Neodiprion lecontei: one gene and its partners. The protein of the gene in region 3 binds, or shares a complex with, the protein of the main gene of each other region. Links are inferred from orthologs where the notes say so. Each region holds a gene or a part of one and is shown on either strand. Other genes may lie near its edges.

The links.
Region 1: acylglycerol kinase, mitochondrial (region 3) and mitochondrial import inner membrane translocase subunit Tim22 share a complex: the UniProt entries of both Homo sapiens proteins name them as parts of the TIM22 complex. The link is inferred for Neodiprion lecontei from reciprocal best matches to the Homo sapiens genes AGK and TIMM22.
Region 2: the proteins of acylglycerol kinase, mitochondrial (region 3) and mitochondrial import inner membrane translocase subunit Tim29 are in contact, whole or in part, in a cryo-EM structure (PDB 7CGP), measured with the Homo sapiens proteins. The link is inferred for Neodiprion lecontei from reciprocal best matches to the Homo sapiens genes AGK and TIMM29. Residues at the interface, in NP_060708.1 of Homo sapiens: His33, Asn36, Arg39, Arg40, Cys43, Gln44, Gln47, Asn51, Lys82, Pro86, His89, Leu90; in NP_612367.1 of Homo sapiens: Tyr145, Gln146, Cys149, Arg150, Tyr151, Leu152, Gln153, Arg155.
Region 4: acylglycerol kinase, mitochondrial (region 3) and mitochondrial import inner membrane translocase subunit Tim10 B share a complex: the UniProt entries of both Homo sapiens proteins name them as parts of the TIM22 complex. The link is inferred for Neodiprion lecontei from reciprocal best matches to the Homo sapiens genes AGK and TIMM10B.

What each region holds. Positions count from the first base shown.
Region 1 is NC_060262.1:34,056,477-34,061,358, forward strand, and holds mitochondrial import inner membrane translocase subunit Tim22, read right to left. Parts: upstream 3,181-4,882; 5' UTR 3,018-3,180; coding exon 3,017-3,017; exon of another isoform or gene 2,936-3,016; coding exon 2,675-2,935; intron 2,493-2,674; coding exon 2,308-2,492; intron 2,157-2,307; coding exon 2,084-2,156; intron 1,717-2,083; coding exon 1,634-1,716; 3' UTR 512-1,633; downstream 1-511. Other genes in the region: septin-1, read left to right, coding at 130-262; uncharacterized protein LOC124293463, read left to right, coding at 4,790-4,882. UniProt on the Homo sapiens protein: Essential core component of the TIM22 complex, a complex that mediates the import and insertion of multi-pass transmembrane proteins into the mitochondrial inner membrane. In the TIM22 complex, it constitutes the voltage-activated and signal-gated channel.
Region 2 is NC_060264.1:30,477,120-30,480,774, forward strand, and holds mitochondrial import inner membrane translocase subunit Tim29, read left to right. Parts: upstream 1-1,668; 5' UTR 1,669-1,861; coding exon 1,862-2,003; intron 2,004-2,189; coding exon 2,190-2,291; intron 2,292-2,600; coding exon 2,601-3,010; 3' UTR 3,011-3,127; downstream 3,128-3,655. Other genes in the region: uncharacterized protein LOC124294430, read right to left, coding at 1-231, 384-452, 559-664, 794-975, 1,261-1,282. UniProt on the Homo sapiens protein: Component of the TIM22 complex, a complex that mediates the import and insertion of multi-pass transmembrane proteins into the mitochondrial inner membrane.
Region 3 is NC_060262.1:42,239,660-42,244,816, reverse strand, and holds acylglycerol kinase, mitochondrial, read right to left. Parts: upstream 3,253-5,157; 5' UTR 2,874-3,252; coding exon 2,764-2,873; intron 2,665-2,763; coding exon 2,545-2,664; intron 2,362-2,544; coding exon 1,971-2,361; intron 1,809-1,970; coding exon 1,693-1,808; intron 1,521-1,692; coding exon 1,333-1,520; intron 1,200-1,332; coding exon 1,059-1,199; intron 969-1,058; coding exon 835-968; intron 669-834; coding exon 546-668; 3' UTR 524-545; downstream 1-523. Other genes in the region: tRNA (cytosine(34)-C(5))-methyltransferase, read left to right, coding at 3,502-3,567, 3,838-4,320, 4,419-4,503, 4,695-4,857, 4,929-5,036. UniProt on the Homo sapiens protein: Lipid kinase that can phosphorylate both monoacylglycerol and diacylglycerol to form lysophosphatidic acid (LPA) and phosphatidic acid (PA), respectively. Does not phosphorylate sphingosine. Phosphorylates ceramide.
Region 4 is NC_060263.1:26,786,774-26,793,194, reverse strand, and holds mitochondrial import inner membrane translocase subunit Tim10 B, read right to left. Parts: upstream 4,456-6,421; 5' UTR 4,157-4,455; coding exon 4,055-4,156; exon of another isoform or gene 3,937-4,054; coding exon of another isoform or gene 3,913-3,936; intron 3,791-3,912; coding exon 3,695-3,790; intron 3,525-3,694; coding exon 3,309-3,524; 3' UTR 539-3,308; downstream 1-538. Other genes in the region: UTP--glucose-1-phosphate uridylyltransferase, read right to left, coding at 5,254-5,466, 5,822-5,988, 6,205-6,342, 6,421-6,421. UniProt on the Homo sapiens protein: Component of the TIM22 complex, a complex that mediates the import and insertion of multi-pass transmembrane proteins into the mitochondrial inner membrane.

The DNA of each region.
Region 1 (4,882 bases), about 8.2 Mb from region 3:
TATGTCACCCAATGGTTTGACCCTGAGAAGTCTATGAATTTCATGATCAATATATTTATACACTAGTGGTTTATAATTTTTTTTTGCTTGAATTATTTTATAATTGGCCGAATTATTTTCAACTCACAGGATTATAGAGTCAGAAAAGACGAATACTGTGAGCGAAAAAGACCGTATTTTACAAGAAAAGGAAGCGGAATTACGACGCATGCAGGAAATGGTGGCTCAAATGCAGGCCCAAATGCAACAACAACAACCTTAGAATTGAAGAATATTTAAATACATCTTGAGGATAAAATCTCCATCTTGCCAGGTGCCAAAAGTCGAAAGAAACTACAGTACTGTCTTAAATTTTGATTCGTAAAAAGGAGTGGTCCAATAATTGGTATTAATTTTGGAATTTGCCATTCCGAAATTCCAAATCAGAATCGATTTTATTTTACCACCAATTCATAGGACGTAGTACAATTTTTTTACTTCTCATCATAGTTTATAATTTTTTAATTGTGAATGTTTATGTGCTGTGGGACGTGCATATTGAGTGATAGAAGCTAAACCAAAAAAACAAAATAACCAAGACACAAAAACATTTGTTACTTACATATCTGTGTGCATTGTAAAGAGAAATATGAAGAGTGCCTTGCAGTATTTTTTTTTTAAACGAAATGTGTATCATTTTAGCCAACTTGTTCTGCACAACCCGCACTTTTACATAATTATTTAGTGAAAATTAATTTCAAAAAAAACTTTTCGAGGTAGAATAAATATGACAATATCAAGCCATTCCTGACAAGAAGATTAGTGAATTTCTTATACTAAAGGTATAAAGATACCCATTAGTTTTTGCTTGCAATGTTAATAACAATATCACATATCCGCGCGATATTTATGTTTTCTATGTTGAAATACGTTCCATATTGTATGTGCGATATGAAGTTAAAAAAATCTCATAATTCGTACAAAATTTCCTCATATCAAAGTTATGATTAAATATACTGCCAGTTTTAGGTATTGCAAATTCCTGAATGTTAACAAGCAATTAGAATCGTATTAGGTAATGGCGAATTTCGAATATGAGAGAAGAGTATATATTTTCTATAAATAAAATAGGTTTAATTGTTCGTTGTGACAACGCATTTACTCTGTACTGATCTACATATAATACTTTTTTCATCTGTATTTAAGTGGAATTTTTCGGCTTTATACAATTGTATTTTCTAAGTGAAAGCCTTTTATTATTCCTCACCTTTATTAGGAGGCATATTACCCTAATATCATTTTTATTGGCATTGAGAAAGTGAAGTTTGATCAAGGAATTGTCAACTATTTTGAAAATCTTTAAGTAGGTAGATACCGTAAGTGTGTAAGAAATTTTAATGCAAGAAAAATGTATATGAACTATTTTATTATAGATTAACAGATATTTACAACTCCTTCGTCAAGCCAAGTGATTTTAATCTAATAATTAAGTCTTATCCTGTGTAAAATTTTGATCTTCTCTATATTTTAATTTGAAAAAAATATATATTATTGACATAAAAATTACTTATTCAGCTTTTATTACACTATTCTTGCATATTATTTACAGTTAACAAGTATTATACAATAAATAATTTAATTTTGTCTAAAAAATTCAAGATTTATGCATATAGTAATCTATCGCTGTTGAAAATGCTGCAAAACCCGCAGCACCAACAAGACCCGCTTTCAGTCCAGCTAAAAATATTAGGTAAAATAATAAATCACGAAGTTTTAACTGTTTTAAGTTTGACAATGACATTGTAATTTTATAATACGTGTATTATAAGTTTCGCTAATTTTGTACAAATGTATGACAGATTTGTTCTGCATTTTGAGAGATTTTATTTGAAAATAATGTGTAAAGAAGTAGTTTTTCAAGTATATGTTTAATTTCGAATAGGTATAAGAGAATCTTTAAACCAACTTGGGTTTGAGCGATTGGATTTTAAAACGTGAAATTTTATTGTAGTGTAACAACAGGTTTGAGGCATCACAATCTTAGAAAAATCAAAAAAAATCTGAGTATATGCAATGATCAAGGGTGTAAATCAGTCTAACTTACCTCTAAGACCGATAAGTCCACCTGTCACACCACCAGCATAACTGCCGTTTCGCCAGTCAGACTTTCCCCTGTACTAAAAAGTAAGGGTCATTATACCATTCCAACCAGATTCATATATGATCTTTCAAGTAGAAATAGGGAGTACAATAACATTCCGAAAAGTAATCAAATTACCAACTGGAGAATAAGTCAAATTATTGTTAGTGCTATAACGTAAATCTTACTGTTTCTATGGTACATTCAACGGCTGAGAATACACATCCTACAACAGCAAAGTTTTTGGCATATCCAAGTGTCGTCATCTTCATTTCTTTGAATATTTCACGTGCTGTTTGCTGTTTTTCTACGCTAGCAACGTTTGGATTTACACTGGAAGAAAATAGACCGATAGCTGCACCAAGACCGTAGCCTATCGACATAATTCATCATGAGTCAGTGATGTGTATTCTTGAGATTAGGAAAACTTCATGTGCGTGACCACTTATAGATCAGGATCAAGATATGCACTTTATTTTTCAATCCTAAGTAATCTTCCATTTTACCTACAGGTGACGGGATTAGCGCAACCATTGCTAACGAAAAACTACATACCCATAACGCAACTCATGAAGCTTTTGAAGATGCAGCTCTCCATGACAGACTCCATGAGTTTCTCGTCGTTCGTTTTTATCCTGACGGGACCCATCACTCTAGGTATAATGATATTCTCTCTGAAACGTTGTTGAGTGCCGACCAAATGAACGGCTATTTTATCCATGTCAGGATCATTCATAAATACTCTCTTATCTCCTTCGGGAGTCGGTGGCGGCTTGGGTGGGTTGAAGGAAAACATCTCTTTGCGATTATTGCGCACTGGGATATGCGAAATTTAACACTCTTCTTTTAGAAATTAGTCAAACTACGTGAGGCACATTACAATTCGGAAATACATATTTTGGAGGTTAGGGCTTGGTTTGGTCGTTGACTGAAGAATATAAAGACAGTTGCCCTAATGGGCTTTGAGGGCTTTGGTATGACAACCGAAAATCGTCATGCGCTTGCGCCCCCTGAGACGTTCCTACGGTAGAGTTGAGAACTTGCTGCAGAACATCAGAGAGTTACCGATTTCGACATGATGCTGGCTGCATTCACCTTCAGAGTATCACAGTCTTCGCAATGGTACGCCCAAGCCAGTACGTAGCCTGTGTGTACTTACTGATTGGTTGGCAATACGAGGAATTAATGATCAGTGCAAATTTCTTTCAAAATTTGTAGCAAAACAGTGATTTAATTAAAGTATAGGTACCCGAGAGGAGAATGTATACATAGATCATAAATAGTAATAGGTCAGATGTAATAATAATGCAGAGACCAAAAAGTATGTATGTATATACGGTCCACGTGCGATATTGATATATGTGATCCATTTACGATTATTACGCGGTGCATACTATGAATTTTATAATTTTCCAGGAGACAAATTAGATTATCTACAATGATACGACTGTAATATGTGAATAAAAGACTTATTCATTTCGAAATGAGATTCCATTCGACACGCGCTCGGTGTATTCCATAACATTGTTATTCATAATTCGAACTACTTTTCATTTGGTGTATCAATATTGAGCTTTCGTAGGCATAGAATCGAAACACTGTTTTAGCTAGTCGCAAGTGAAGTATCTACGTTGGCTAGAAAAGCAGAATTGTTTTCGAAAAGTGTTCGTACGGAGAAGAATTCAGAATAACTGTAATGCATCTCGGATGCGCTGATTTTGATGATGAAATGAATCCTCCGTATATAAGACAGTATTTAATACAGTGTCCTAATTTGAATACCTAAAACGGTGATTCTCAGCGATTTTTGTTGTTGATAGAAAGAGATGGAACGGAGCTTGGTCAAGTTTCGAGTGTATTTGAACACACATTTGAAAGGCACGAGCAAAAGATTCTATCATCCAACTGTTACAGAACGGCGGCGTTATTAGCTGACCCGTTAATTGAAGAATATATCTTTGGTCGAAGGCTGACCATCAAAGAGCCTAGCCGCTTGAGTCTAAAATCAGCAGAAGAAATGAAGTGCGTATTGCTTGTCTAAAATGTGTAAACTGAAATCATTATAGATCATCTCATATCATCATACATCAAACACCATACATCATACATCGTACATCATGAACCATACGTTATACAACATACATCATACACAGTACTGAAGTTCGAAACCAAAGTATGCATGTTGGGATGATCAGAAAGTGACGTCACCCAAAATTTTTTTTTCTCGACGTCATCGATCGAAAATCAGCTAGCCGAATTCCTCAGTCTGGAAACAACCGCGCGGTAGAGCGGACGTATGAGAATTGCGCTCAGCAGATTTCGAGTACCGGGTTCTCTGTCTCCTGGATCCTGCGCTCCGGGTCGGCTACCTGGTCAAACTCGACTTCCAAGACAAGCGCTCGGTGGTTTCTGCGCTCCAGGTCCGTTTCCTGGTGCCACTCGAGTTCCAGGACAAGCGCTCCGCGGTGCCTGCGCTCATGTCCGCTACCTGTTGAAATTCGACTTCAGGGACTAGCGCTCGTAGTTTGTGCGTTCCAGGTCGGCTACCTGGTACAACTTGACTTCAGGGACAAGCGCTACGTAGTTTTTGCGCGCCAGGTCCGCTACCTGGTAGAACTCGACTTCCAGGACGAGCGCTCCGTAGTTTCTGCGCTCGAGGTGTACCACCTGATGAAACTCGAGTTCCAGGACAAGAGTTCTGTAGTTTCTGCACTCCGGGTGTCCTACCTCGTGAAACTCGACTTCCAAGACAAGCGATCCGTA
Region 2 (3,655 bases), on a different chromosome or scaffold from region 3:
CACCCGTAATATCTGGTAACACTAAGAGCTCTGGCTCCTTTACCACCAATTTCAGCTCTTTTGAATCGTATGGCACACTTGTACCTCGGAATATCGACAACGTCAACACACTCCACAGCAAGCAAGCAACCGATCTTATAATTGTCAGAATTAATTTTCCAAAGTAGTATATTGGACACCACAGTACGTAGAAAATGCAATTTAGGATGTCCAATAGCTCTACTTTGAGATCTGAAAAAGACAAACTATATTTCCGAAAAGCGAAAAGCTGTAGAGCATTATACTTTTTGAAGGATTTTCCTAACTTTTTTTTTTATTTTCACTACTTGTTGAAATGAAAGAACCTAAGAAATTAACAAGTTATGATAGTTGTCTCTACGTACTGAGAAGTAATGAGAAAAACGGTTTCTCCTTATTTCGATGCTTGCGGTTCTTCTGTTTTTTAAGCAATTCTGAAACAAGAAAAGATAATCATCACTTGGAATTACTATACTTGATGTTTACCAGAGATTAATCTTAAAACCAGAGGTGTATTAATTGGTCTTTATGTGTAATTACCAGTTGGACTTATTTCCAAAGAGGAAACGCGCTGTTTCAAAAGAGCTGCCGGCATTTTTGTCTGAAAAAATTCTTCTCTCATAGATTTTTCAGTCATCCTAGATACCTACAACAAAAAAACATAAACACACCCGTGTATGAAAAACAGACAGAATTAGATGCACAAAGGAATTTCGTGGTCGGAAATTCAATACTTTCACTTAGTTTTGCAGGTAAGTTCTACTTCCATTTTTACCCTGCTTTTTTCCTGTAGCAAGTTCTGAAAATCACATCGAAGCTGAAGAGTGTAAGAGTTAACGCTGAGATTGCTGCGAGAAAATTCATTTTCATGTCCGTTACAATGGTAAAAAGGATCTTGAAGTCCATTGATTCTATCTGTGATAGGCTGAAGTTTTGCGTATCTGCTGCGCACCATGTCTGAAAATAAAAAAAATGAGTCAATGTCTACTCTACTAAGCTATGCATAAAATTGTTCGAGCTGTACGATTCAAAGTTGATTACTTGCACATGTTATTCATGTTGAATTTTCTTCAAATATTGGAAGGGTCGAAACATTCCTAGGCTTCGTTAATTGAGGAATTGAGGAAAAGAAAAATCGTTGAGAAGATTTTAGAAATAAAATAGGGATAAACGCTGTGACATAGAAGACTAGGATAATGTGTCGCAGGTGCTTTAGTTAGAAAATCTAAAGTTATAAATTACCTTTTCCATTAATTCTCTCCATTTTGAAAATTATGTTGATTGAATTGCAGTTAGTCAGAGAAACATGATTGATGAAAATAATCCTTTGTTATTAACACGTAAAATTAAGTCGAGATTGAAATTGATATGACAATTTAAAGTTGAGCAATAATTTGCAATGAATTATGATATGATGACAATTTATTGTTTAACCGTAAGTGTCAAAATCCCATGTATTCAAGAGTGAAGTTAAAATTGAACGTGGGCTCGAAAATAAATGAAGAAAATGAAACAAATAAATAGATCGACTATCGTCCTTGTTCAAAATGTTTAAAGTTAATCCGCGTTCCGCAATGCTTTATGGGAAGTCCCCGCGCTTACCAAACCAGAGCAGACGACTTATTTAATTCACGATAAGAAAGCTAGTAGCCGTATTTTTCCAACTTTACTCAAGCGCGATGCTTTCGCGCCTCGGCTCAATTTATTAATTAATAGGAATTTTTCAACGTCACGTGCTTTGTCATTAACTAAGAACTTATTCTTATTATGGAATTTAAATGAGAGTGACTTTTCAGTGAGCGAAATTCAATCGCCGCACGCTTCGTTGATCAGTAAACTAACTATGGCGGTTCGGATATCCCATTTATTCCGTAATAGATTTAAACAATTTTTTAAAACCTATAGTACAAATTCAGCTGAGATAAGCAAAGCTAAGGATCCTGAAGTGACGGAGCAAGTGAAGGAACGGCTACTAGATCGTTGGGGTAAGAACAGGTCATGTTAATTTTTGTTCGAGGTTAAGTTAGGTTAGGTATTTACAGGTTATATTATATTTATATAAATTTGACGAAGCAATTCACAGAATATAGGGAGATCGGGTGTTAGCTTAGAGTATGCGAACTTGTTCGATAATCATTCGATAATTGTCACCTGTTTTATTTTCATTGTAGCAAAATATTGGAAGAATCTCTTCATTGACTACAGAGATGTGGCTAAGGATGTTGCACAAGGATGTAAGGATCGGCCTATTCGTGCTTCAATCTATTTCTCTCGTAAGTGAAAAATCATATTTCTTAATTTCCCGCAGTGAAACCTGCTGGAATGAGAGACAACTTAGTTTTTTTTTCTTTATCTTTATGATCTTAGATGTATCACTATACTTCTTTGTAAAGGATTCGCAGCTCATAAAAATACATGTTTAAGCCCACTATAGCTGCTCATCATTAGTGCAGATAACACTAATTATTGCAGTGAATCAAACCAAAAATACAAAAGAAAAATATATTTATTTAGAGTCAGAGGAGCCAGTAAATGTTCTGTATTCGGTATGAAATTTTCGTGTGAATTGGTTTATGTTTCAGTTCTAGGCAGTGTATACTACTTTTCACGACACAACCCTAGTCCAGATTCGTACAGAAACATGTTGATAGAAGAATCAAACAAGATGATGATGGTTGGAGAACCAATTCGGAATCGTCAAAGTGTAAGGCATTTGAAATCGATAGAACAGTGCTTCAATGAAGGGATCATACGCAGGTTGAGCTTGGGGATTGTTTCTTTTATATGGTTGGATAACTACGATAAAGAATGTGCTCACTACAAAGCAACATGTTCGTATCTCAAACCACAGTATTTAGGATTTCATCACAGAATAGTTGACATTGGTTTCATGGATAAGTGGTGGCTACTGGAGGACAAAATGACTGATTTTGATATAAATGAAGAGGAATTTAAAAACTTCTCCACTTCGCCAGATAAAATCGGCTCATAATGAGAATATCGAATATTATTGACGGATAAAATTACAAATATTAATTATTATAATAGTATTTATACATATGTACATATAGAAGGTTTATTCATTGAATAAATGTGCCTTCACACACAAGTATGGTAAATTTTTTTAAACTTATATATGCACTATTGATACTTTGGGATCGAAAGCTGGAATTTATTAGAGAATTATATTACAAGATGATGGAAAAAGAACGTGGCGGAATACTGCGCTTGAAAAAGATTCGAATGCTTCGAATTCATTAATTTCTGATAAAGTTGTAAATAATTTACTATTATTGGCCTATTCTGTTAGATCTAATCAAAAACTCGCGTGAAGGTAGTTGAAATGAAAACGTTATTTCAAGATATTTTCAATGAATTGTCCAACTCTCGTCAAAAGTCTCATCTAATTTCATGAACGGTGTAAAAAATCCCAACAGAGTTACCTTCTTATGAGAATATTCATGGTCCATGATCGATTGTGGCAACGGTTGCGCAGCGGGAGATAGAGAGAGGAGAGGAAAGCTGAAGACAAAATAGCTAATGCCGGTTGACAGCCGCAGTGATCCGTGGCTGTTATAAAATTCGGTAAAAGTTCAAGAATTCAAAATCTGGATTCGAAATCGCATCGATCCGCGAC
Region 3 (5,157 bases):
AAGTCCCATTAAAATCCCCCCCAAATGCTGGCAAAGTTCAATTTACTCGAGTGTAAACCTATGCAATTTTTTATCCTCTTGCCATTGTCTCTGAAACCCACTAATTGTTGAATTACAGCTTTTTTCTAAAACATAACTTTTTGAGCTGAAAATTCAATACTTGGGCGAAAAAAAATCATACGATACTTTATGAAGAACGAAAATGTTGGTTGGAGACTAAAGAATGGCGGAAATACGGCCATGTTCAAAAATACGTACCAGATCCAAGAAAAATTGTAAATAATTTTCGAAAAAACAAACATAAAGGTAAATATGTCCTCTTTAAAACGCTGTTTGGAACGTTTGATTATCTTTATTTTTGAGTCCGCTATTTAACTTTTAGTGCGGCAAGAAATTTCGACTGGTGTACCCAAACTTTTGGTTGGCGGTGTATATTCAAATTTTTTAGACTTTTACAGAATCACCGATGGAAATGATCCGTCATCGGTATTAAATGCAAAGGATAAAAGAAAGGCGCAAAAAGTACTGTTAGCTCTTTATTTATACTAGCTTACTGCACTATCCATAGGCTGCGCACAAAACATTGTTACACTTTTTGGTAGTAATTTAACTCTGATTGGCTTCAATTCAAATTCTTCATTGTCTATGGAAAACATTTTGCTTTGTTCCTGTAATAAACATTTCACGTTTAACACATGTCAACATTCCAGGGTTTAAACTATATGTAATACAATACATGACTTCGCATAGTTGTTAAAATTCTCGATTCCCTTTTTTAAAATTCACAAGGGAAGTTCGAGTAGGGATAACAATATGATGTAAATATTCACTCACCGGTTTTGAAACAGTTTCACGAGGTCGTAATTCAATATCCTTCGCCTCAATGGTTTGTTTGTTGACAGTTTTGTGACCATCTGCTCGCTTCCATCCTTCCTTAACAAAATCTAAGTAGCTCACGGTTTCTGGACCTATTGATCGAAGATTGTTATAATATTTTGGATTTGTTGATGTGAAGATTGAATGATAGGTTTAGCTATTCAATGGCTACTTTAACTCACCTAAATGGACTTTAATTGCTGGCACACTATGATCGGTTGGAGAGTCCAGATTACTGGTAATCATTTTCAACTCGGTTGTGACTATTGGAATTTCATGAAGAGATCCACATTTTTCATTTATCACCTTACTATAATCGATTTCTAAAAACGATATTTATTGATGAATATCAACTTTTAATTACGCCAAATTTTACTTATCTTTTATTGTACTATGTAAGTGTGCATCTGATTGGTACTGAGAATACTTTTAGAGAACAATTGCTATCGATATTACCAAAAGATGCACTCCTCGTCCTTGGAACAAAAGAATGCCACCAACGTCTGTCACTGGAAGATGAATGACTACTCTGCCTGCTGTGGCGACAACGAGAGCACCCGTTGCATGGTTCTGAGTATCGTAAATCAGCGCTACAGTCCCAGGTGAGGTCACTTTTGTAACCATTGAATACATAAGTTGCATATCTGTAATATAAGAGTTGATTACAACCGAATTACTGGATCCTGCAATTAGATTACTTGTAACTGAAGTTCTAGCAATTGGTGCAAATCAATACATGGCTGAAGCAACTTTTTCATCTTATAAGCTTTTGGCCATGTCAGGAAATTTACAATACACCAAAATTGTACTGTTTACCTACGAAGTGATCCCCAATACCAGTATTTGTTGGCTTTAGCATTTGCGTCTCTCCATGCACCCCACTCCACAGTGCCCACTGCATAAACTGGTTTGATAATATTCTCAGGGTCTTGCTGTAAGATTGAGAATAAATGTTCTAAAATTCAAACAGCAAACACTGTGAAAACTTACAATTTACCCGAGTTTAAGGTCTGATGATAAAAAAAAAAAGAAACAATTCGCAAAATGAAAAATTAGCAAACACCAAGTGACCTATGATCGGTCTAATTAATTACCTCAAGAGGCTCAATTTCGATAGTATCAACTAATTTAGTAGTGCCTCTGACAACAGCCATGGTAGCTTCAGCCATAGCGTGTATCTGTGGCAAATCTGTGTATCCATTAAACAGTGATTTTGCGACATTGTTGGTCTGCCCGAGAGGTAAAATGCCAATTGGGCATTGCTTGACTATCTCGACATCGGTGTTGCACCTTCGCATCACCCCAGTAACGACATCCGACAATGACCCATCGCCACCTGCTACAACTATGGCATCTGTATGAGAATTCAAATTCTCAACTATACTTCGTGCTTGGCCCTCAGATTCAGTTTGAATGATCGTTACAGCTATTCCAGCAAGGTGTAGCAGTGGTGCGCAATACTTTTCTAACAAATCCTTTGCTTTTCTAGATCAACAGCGTCAAATGGTAACGATGATTACATATCGGTTCCAGAAATCTGGAGCAGTTGTTATATATCGCTGGATCAGTAAAATATTTTATATGAAGTGCTTCCATGAAACTTTAGTAGTAATCAAAATAATCTTGTCGCTGACACACCAATCATATGACCATAGAATTTGAACATACCTTTTGTTAGCCGCTGGATTTAAAATGACAGTAACGTGTCGCGGTTTTAAATTTACCGGCAGTGGCATATCTCCATATCTGACCGCATCCTCGCAATACCTTCGCATCAACTGCTCTTTGCTGAAATTTTAATTTCAACAGCATCGAGAGGTTAATCCGTTAAGGTTATGTTTGTTTGGTAGAAATAACTTCCAGCTTGACAGGCAAGGAAGTACTCACTTATAAGACTCTATGCCATAGGACCCACCATACGATATCGCAGCTAGAGCGAAGGTGGATTTTTTCCAATTATTTCTTATAATTTTAAAGAACTTAATAATTCGGGCCATAGCCTATGTTTAAATGCCAGTCTCGGCGTCCGGCGATAGGCGAAACCGCCACTGATTATGAAATAAGGAAACACGGTGTGCTCTTTGGTGTGCTTCGTGTGCTTTAAACAGAGATGCGCAGTAGCAAGGTCACGTGATAGCCCCTGCATGACGCCAGATAATTATAGTTAGATATAAATGACGTCATGTGGGGGGGCACATTTTCAATAGCCGAAACGACAATAGATGCGCAAGAACACACCTTGTTTCCTCAAAGACGGTTCAGTCATGACTGGTTGCGAACCATAGCACAGATTCCCTATCCTCCAACTACCTACTGAACGGTTTAGAAGATCGAACTCGACTGCAATGAGTACTGATTTTAAACAGCGTGGCCAAAATCGTCACCGCTGAATACGCAAATTGGTACTCTCATTACTCGCATCGCTCGCATTCACGATTAGTGGCCCCGGTAGTTTAAGCTGTGATTACAACTCTATACTAATAGAGATCGGTGACTGTGATCGTGTCCGCGCGGTTTCCGTTTACACGTGACATTAATACAGCGTATCACAGACAACTTATAGGAATCTGTGGTTTAATGCGAGTCGGTAGGCCTTGCAGTATATTTCAGTAATTTCAAGTGATAATGGGTAAAGGTAGAAAATATAGGCCAAAGAAGAATTTTGCTGAAAAACGCCGCGATAAACAGAAGGTAAAAAATTTTTCAGAACTGATGCGGTTTCTGATTTGATTTGGAGGTTAAGTTTACGGTATTTCGATATTGAATTCCGCAAATGTCACTAAAATTCATCCTTCTACCCTCCGCAAGCATGTTGCTATTAGAATTAATTTTTATTGAATATTTGACATGACAATTCTTTTCTCTGGAAGCTGTACATTTTTTACCCAACAGCAACTTACAATCGCTGTGACAGATGGATTTTCGAAATAGATTATAACGAGCTAAATCAACTTGTTGCAGAACAAAGATGAATGGGATAAAAGGCCGCAGAGATGCTATGAAGAAATAATCAGGGAGAATGTTGATTTTGAAAATTATTACAAAACCCAAAATATCGTTCCTAGCGAAGAATGGTACATTTTTATGAACAAGATGCGGGAAAACCTGCCGGCCGCCTTTCGAATAACTGGTTCCAAGGCAGAAACGAAGGCACTGCTTGATATAATTAAAGGGGATTTTTTCAATGAGATCATCAATATAAAACGAGAAAATGAAGAGGAAGAAGTCAAAGAGAAAGAAAAACTTTATCCAAAATGCCTTCCATTTTATCCAGATTCTTTGGCTTGGCAGCTTCAGTTGACTCGTAAGGACATTCGAAGGTCTGAGGCATACTTTAGGCTACATAATTTTTTGATTGCTGAAACAGCTAGCGGTAACATAAGTCGCCAAGAAGTAGTGAGCATGATTCCTCCCCTCGTTTTGGAAGTCAAACCTCAACATAAGGTTTGATTTTATCATCATTTGCTGATACACTTATGAAGTAAACCAATTCCTTCAGCTGAATGCATTTCAATCAACTCTAAACGTTTGCAATCTTTCAGGTTCTCGACATGTGTGCTGCACCAGGTTCAAAGACAGCTCAGTTAATTGAAATGATACATTCTGATGAGAGCAACCCACATCCTGGTGAATATATGCTTATACACAATGAGATCAAGTCATTTTAGGAATAGTAGCAAGTCGGCTTTATCATTTTTGCCTTTTTTTTTCCTTCCATTAACCAATAGTTTTGCTACTTTTCTTGAATTTCTATTGTCACCGCTAGTTGTGGAATTTAATACTTTTTACAATGTTATCCATGTGTCCCTTGTCAACAGAGGGATTTGTAATTGCCAATGACGTGGACAACAACAGGTGCTACATGTTGGTACATCAAGCTAAGAGATTGAACAGCCCAAATATTCTGATTACAAATCACGACTCGTCAGTAATGCCTAATTTCAATGTTGCCAAACCAGATGGCACGACAGAAAAGTTAAAGTAAATAGACTTGTCTCAGAAATACCTTTCCAATAGCATATCTGAGTAATACACTTTTCGATTCCATTCAGGTTTGATAGAATTCTTGCTGATGTACCTTGCAGCGGGGATGGAACAATGAGAAAAAATCCAGATATTTGGTGCAAGTGGAGTCCTGCGAATGGAAACAATCTTCATGGGTGAATGTTTACTTACTTTGCACGAATTTTCTCGCATAGCCTTAAAGTTGAAATTAAATTTTGTCATTCATCGTTTACTTCTCGAGTTTTCATGAGTCAAACAAATTCTTGTTCTCCACTA
Region 4 (6,421 bases), on a different chromosome or scaffold from region 3:
CTCCCTCCAACCGTCAGAATTGAATTTCTTACGTATTAATCAAATGGGAATTACAAAATCTCGATGTCGCACCTCTTAAAAAAATCGCACGGCGATTTCCTTTCACGAGGTTCAATATTATGTTATAAACTACGATTTCATGAAGCCGGAGATCGAAAAAAAAAATTGTTTTTTCTTTCTTAGGCAGTCTAATATATACTGTATATATTCTAACTATATCAGTGTATATACTATACATATATATTATAATATATACTATATATACACTGTATATACTATACATATACTATGTATATCCGTGACATATATAATATGCGTGCATATTATATAGAATGTAACTCGTTCGACTTTCAGAATCGCGATATCTCAGAAATGATGATTCTTAGGAAAAAAAAGTATAGAGACCATTTTTGTGGATAATTTTATGATCTACAATTTTGGTTTAAGCTATTTTTTTGATAAAATTAACCGTTAACGAGAAAAATCGAAAAAACCAAAAATTTTGACCTTTGACCTTGAATAACTTTTTTAGCACACATGGTATCGATGGGGAATTTTTTATCTTTCTTTATAATGGTAAACCCAAGGTCTCTACCAAAGTTCAGCTCTGTCGGAATTATTGTGATTCGAAATGTCTAAATTGACCGGACTATTAAATGAAGACCCGAGAGCTTCATATGTATTCCACACGGTATTCACCTTTAATTAGTTAAGTAGTTGAATGTGGTACATTTTATTTACGAAAAAAAAAAATTGAGAAACTTACGTCGATAAGATTAGATAGAATCGTTGGTAGATTCGAAAGTACATGTTAAAATAGGGCCTAGTCATTAAATATTAGGATATTTACTGAAAAATAGAAAATAAAATTCGGCTGAGACAATGACATACTTATACAAGAGTAATATAGATGGGAAAAATGAATTTGAGTACAGAAGTTTTGCAACGTTGATTATCCTGCTTTAATTTTTCACCCAGCTTTACTATTTAATGAATAAAAATATACTACAGCACTCATATGGCAATGGTTGACACGATAAAATTGCGGATATCAACTTTGTAGACAAGAATGCAAATACGTCTGTATTTGTACATAATCAGAACTGAAATTTCGTTTAGAAAAAAATCGTTTATATTTACTTATAATCAGAAAAAGAGAACAAAATCTATTAAAAAAGTACACAATATTGTTTACTGGAGTACGAAACTTGTGATTAGGCCTGTTATATATACATAAGTGTATTTGAATAACTTGTCACTTGACAATATAAGTAGACAATACAAATACAAAATATACTCATATATTTTGGGTAAAAATGCTAATATTGCTGATGAGTATGTGTTGTCAAAAATTAGTCTGCTAACTCCTGTGATTTTTTATATTTTTAATGATTGTTAATTTTTATTTATATACTTTCCATTACCAGTAGGAGTGCTGTATAGGATATTTATATAAAAAATCAAACGCTTATTAAGTTTAATTTTAACACTGCATTACAGGTATGTGAATGCAAATGGGCGAGCTTATAAAAAATATTTTAAGTAATTTCGAGTACTTATAGATTTGCAGGCAAATAATAATTATTTATTATTTTCATAGGCATGTGAAGTTAATTTATTCATTCACATTTTGGCAGGTAAAGAAGTGATTCTAATATCGTGAAACCAATTTGTATATCAATGCCATACACATTAAATTCATTCCTTTAACATGGCAACGCAATTATTCATGAAATACGAGAAATAAATGCTTGAGTGATGGAAATTACAAGTACGTCAAAAGAATAATGTTTCTAAATCATTGAAGCACTCGATATACCTGGTTTTTTAATCGGTCCCCTTTTGTTACATGCAATAGATTCCTATCTGTAATTTACGCGATTTCAATTGAATTTGCTTTGCTAAGAAAAAATGTAAAGTTGCATTCCTAATTACGATTACTTGATGTACAGACTGAAATGTCGCTGATCTCATACACATCACAGGTACATTATGTAGACCATTGCACATATAGTAATTTGTGTAACCACGTCTGCTGTCACATGGGTTTTAAAACTGTTAGTGTTCCACACCAGTATTTGTGACAGCTTTAGATGTGAATCTGTGACAATGTCGAAAAAAAAAAAAAAAAAATGGGGGAAAGTAGTAGTTTCAGAAAGCAGTATGTTATTACGTCAGATCTTAGAGATATTTTGACGTTTGAATTGAACAATCAAAATGATATTTACTACAAGCTTGTGTGAGCATTTTAAAATTTTAAAACACTATTACTTTCAAATGCAACAATATCATTTTGCTTGGTTCATGCTATAATTTTTAGCAAATTGACGACAGAGAACCGTTAAACTTTAAAACAGTGTATTGAGGCAATATATTGTAGTCGTGTTCTGATATTATAACAAAACTGTAATAATATTATTCGTATATATACATATACATACATACCGTATTCTGTATATACACACATTTTCAATAATAAATCAATGCTTATGTAATATGTACGGCCCTGTATTATTATTTAAACTAATTGGCTTATTATTTTTTAACAGTAGGATGGTCAGACTGAAAAATTTCAACTAATTACTTACCTAGAATCACTTGAAAAGTAATGTTATAATATTCAATGTTCCTTGCAAATATGTATTAATTAAGACGAAACTGGTCTTTGCTTTGTTTACATTTTGATTTCCAATCTTAGCAAGATGATATATCACAACTTATGTAGAAAATCTAATAAACTGAATACTTGTACTTTTGCCATTCACTCATTCTCAAAATCTGAAATGCAAAGAACCAGAGAATATGGTAAGAAAAATATGTACATACAATTACACAATGCAAAGGTTGAATGAACAAATTCAGTTTTTATACGTTGAAAATATTTACAGAGTAGTTAACTATGATTACACTCCCAACCGCTGCATACAACAGGAGGAAGACGTATTACATATTGCTTGCAAAACAATCTTGCTGCTACCAGCTTGCTGTAAGAAAGACGTTCCTGAGAGGATATCTGTTTCAAATGACTGCCATTACGAAGCGCATAATAAGGAGAGCCATGAATTGAAAAATGCTGGTCCTTAAGGAATCCTTGAATCATAAAAGACCTGTACCAACAATCAGTATGACAAAGAGGCTCAAAGCAATCTTATTTTGACCCTATTGCCAAACAAGGAACAGCTGAGCAACATAACACACCCTGACAATATTGAAAAGGTGAACAGCATAAAGTAAAATAAATATATCATATTATAAAATAATGTAATATAAAATATTAAATAACATAAAACGAAAGGCTAAATTGTGGGTCAGACCAGTGGCTGACTTTGTCGTAAATTTTGACTAGTTTCTGTGTCTTGGGTGTCTTGCTGCAGTTGTTGCTGCTGTGCCATAGCTGCAGCTTGAGCAGCATTCATTTCTTCTGTCCTTTTATTCATTAAAACAGGTAGTACCTCCATATAGACTTTCATCATTTTGGTATTCGCTTTTACATGCTTCTGGGCACAGTTATTTACACAAGCTTCCTATGGCATTACAAATAAATAGTTATTCTCAATACATGCTGCAAAGATATGTATGTGTAATGAATATACATAATATTGGAAAGCTGCAAGTATTTTTATATGGTGTAAAAAGAACTGAAATCTGAATCTTATCCAAAATTCAGAAAACATTCACCGATCGATCATCTCACCTCATCCACATCCATGTCTCTGGAATTGTATGTATTTGTACATCGTTTGAAGCATGTGTCAGATATTTGATTGTAGAGCGTAAGGAAATCCTTGAACTGCAATAAAAATTATTCAAATAATGTCAATTCTGTGTTATGGTAGAGCGCGATAAGAATTGCTTATGAAGTAAATAGAAGCAGCATTCAATTGATGACAAATTATAACAGAAAATACAAACATTTCTTATCTCCCTTAAATCCATGTTTTGGTGAATAAATTTATCACGGCCTCCACTACTAAATTATGAATTACAAATAATAATGAGTCTTGAGATTTAAATTCATGAACGGAATTCTCGTCATGCAACATAACCTACATACATAACTCACTGTCCTGATTTTCTGCGTGAGCATTTTCAACAAGTAGGAAAAGGAAAGGAGACATAACTCCGTACTCTTTTCGACGGCAAACGTGAGACACATTTGGTTGGAAATTCGTAGTACCGATAACGCCGCGCAGCGCTGGTTTCGTCTGTTGCATGGGAAATTTGAACGCGCTATATGTGTGCACAATTTTTAAATAATATCCCTCTTCCCGTTACGGCTCCGCCCGCTAATATTTTTAAATGCTTTTTGTGGCGAGATTATAAGACATAACCATTGTGAAGCTCATAGAGATTTTTGAAAACTCTTGAGCCTAACTTTCCTCCATATAAGAGTTTAATCAGAGCTTTCACAAGTGTATGATCCCGTTCAGACTTAGCTTACAAATATTGTTATATCTTCAAAACGATCGATCTGGTTGTAACAAAATATGTCTTAAAACCTGGTCAGACGTTGTAGTTATCCACAGAAAAAAGGAATCAAAATCGGGGGAGTTTATAAGCCAATATACGGATAGCAGAGAAATAGAGCGAAGTTGAATTTTACGTATGTATGTATGTACAACAAACAAATATTAAAAATACTAGAAATTTCTGTCTATTACTCACGAAGAACATATTTCTAGATGAATACGCCACTGCAGTTACAAACATACACATGCTAAGTGTTCATGCTAACAACCCGATGAAACATCCAGTGAATCGGAACGACTTGGGCCCTGAAGTTTGCACCTGGATATTCATGACGGCAATTTTTCGTTGAAATAACATTTGTATGTTCCAAAGCACGTAAGAAATTGGAATACAAGGAATTTACAGTAAATATTATTCCGATTTTGTTTTTTCATTATAAGTAATATCTTGCCTGTATGTGGTATTTTTAATGTCCATTCAAGTGTTCAGAATTAGTGCTTCCGATGATCTCTGAGTTAATATTTTCATTCTTAAATTTTGTATATGTACATAAATACTATACATATACATATAATAAGATAAAGCTAAACTTACAAATTGCAACAATAAGTAACGAATAAAATTAGACCACTAAAACTTATTCAGCGAGGGTATAATTAATTATCATTACACATTTTGTACACATTTTTTTGCTAATCTTAGGCCTAGTGTATATGTATATATATATATACACCCACACACAAGACTTTGTGCATGTGATGAACAAACTTGATATACCATAAACTAATGATCCAAAATACGTAGATTTCCGGATACAATTTTATTTTCTAAAATAGTTCCCGAAGGTATGTCGATACGGTCTCCATGATTTGCTATAATAATAACTGTGCCTTTGAGAGAAACTCCTTTTCCAAATGTAACATCGCCGGATACAGTTAGATGATCCAGTTCTAAGAGATCTGGGATTGAGGCAAACCTACGTAGATACTCTTTTACCTGAAAAAATTAATAATAATTAGAATACGTGAAGTGTAATCAGGATTATTGGTTTATCTCTTATAGAATTCCTAAAGTAACAAAGCTTGCAACACGTGCGGAACAAATGAAAAAAATACAATTTTCCGCGAGCATCACAACCTTGCGTCGATTATGGTATTTCAATGCTTCAAGTATTATTCTAATTAGCTAACAATAATCTGGGCACAAACGTCATAAACGTTGGTATTTGTGAATCAATTACGTATTGATTCCTGGTTTTAATAGACTTGTAATTTGTTCCTCACTTTTAGAGAACTGTTAAATTTAAAATATAGCTCACATAGACAGCTATCTTATGAGATAATAATAGCACCTTTGAAAAGTGATTATCGCCAAGTTTGATGAGTGGAGTAGTTGGAAACATCCGCTGGGGACTCATGAGGAGAGCTCCTTTGCGTAAACTGTATAAGTTACTCATCACCAACATGAGATCAGAGGTCTTTTTCACAGGTAAGAATCTGCTACGTGGTACGTTGATGCCTATAGATCAGAGAAAAAAAAAAATTAAAAAATTAGCATTATATGAAAGTAGTCTAAATTTCTATAAAGATTTTTCGAAACAGTTAAGGAATTTGTTTGAAACTTTCAAATGGTTGGCATTTTTTGCTTGGATAGAGTATTTATTACAGAGTTAATGTACAGTTAAGAAATAGTTTAGCATAATTTTATTTGACTGCAAGTATTGGGTGAACTCACCAAGACCTCCATCAAAGGATTTCATAGCTGCACCTACAGCTGTTTCTAGTTGAATAACGTTCAAACCATTACTCAAGCTTTTGTTATTCACAATAATTTCCATGTTGAGTGTTTTTTCTTCTAAGACTCTCTCAATAGCTGCAAGAAATAATGTTCGCAATTGAAACTAGCTAATGAACAATTTCATAAATTCTGAATAGCGTGTTCCGTGCTTACC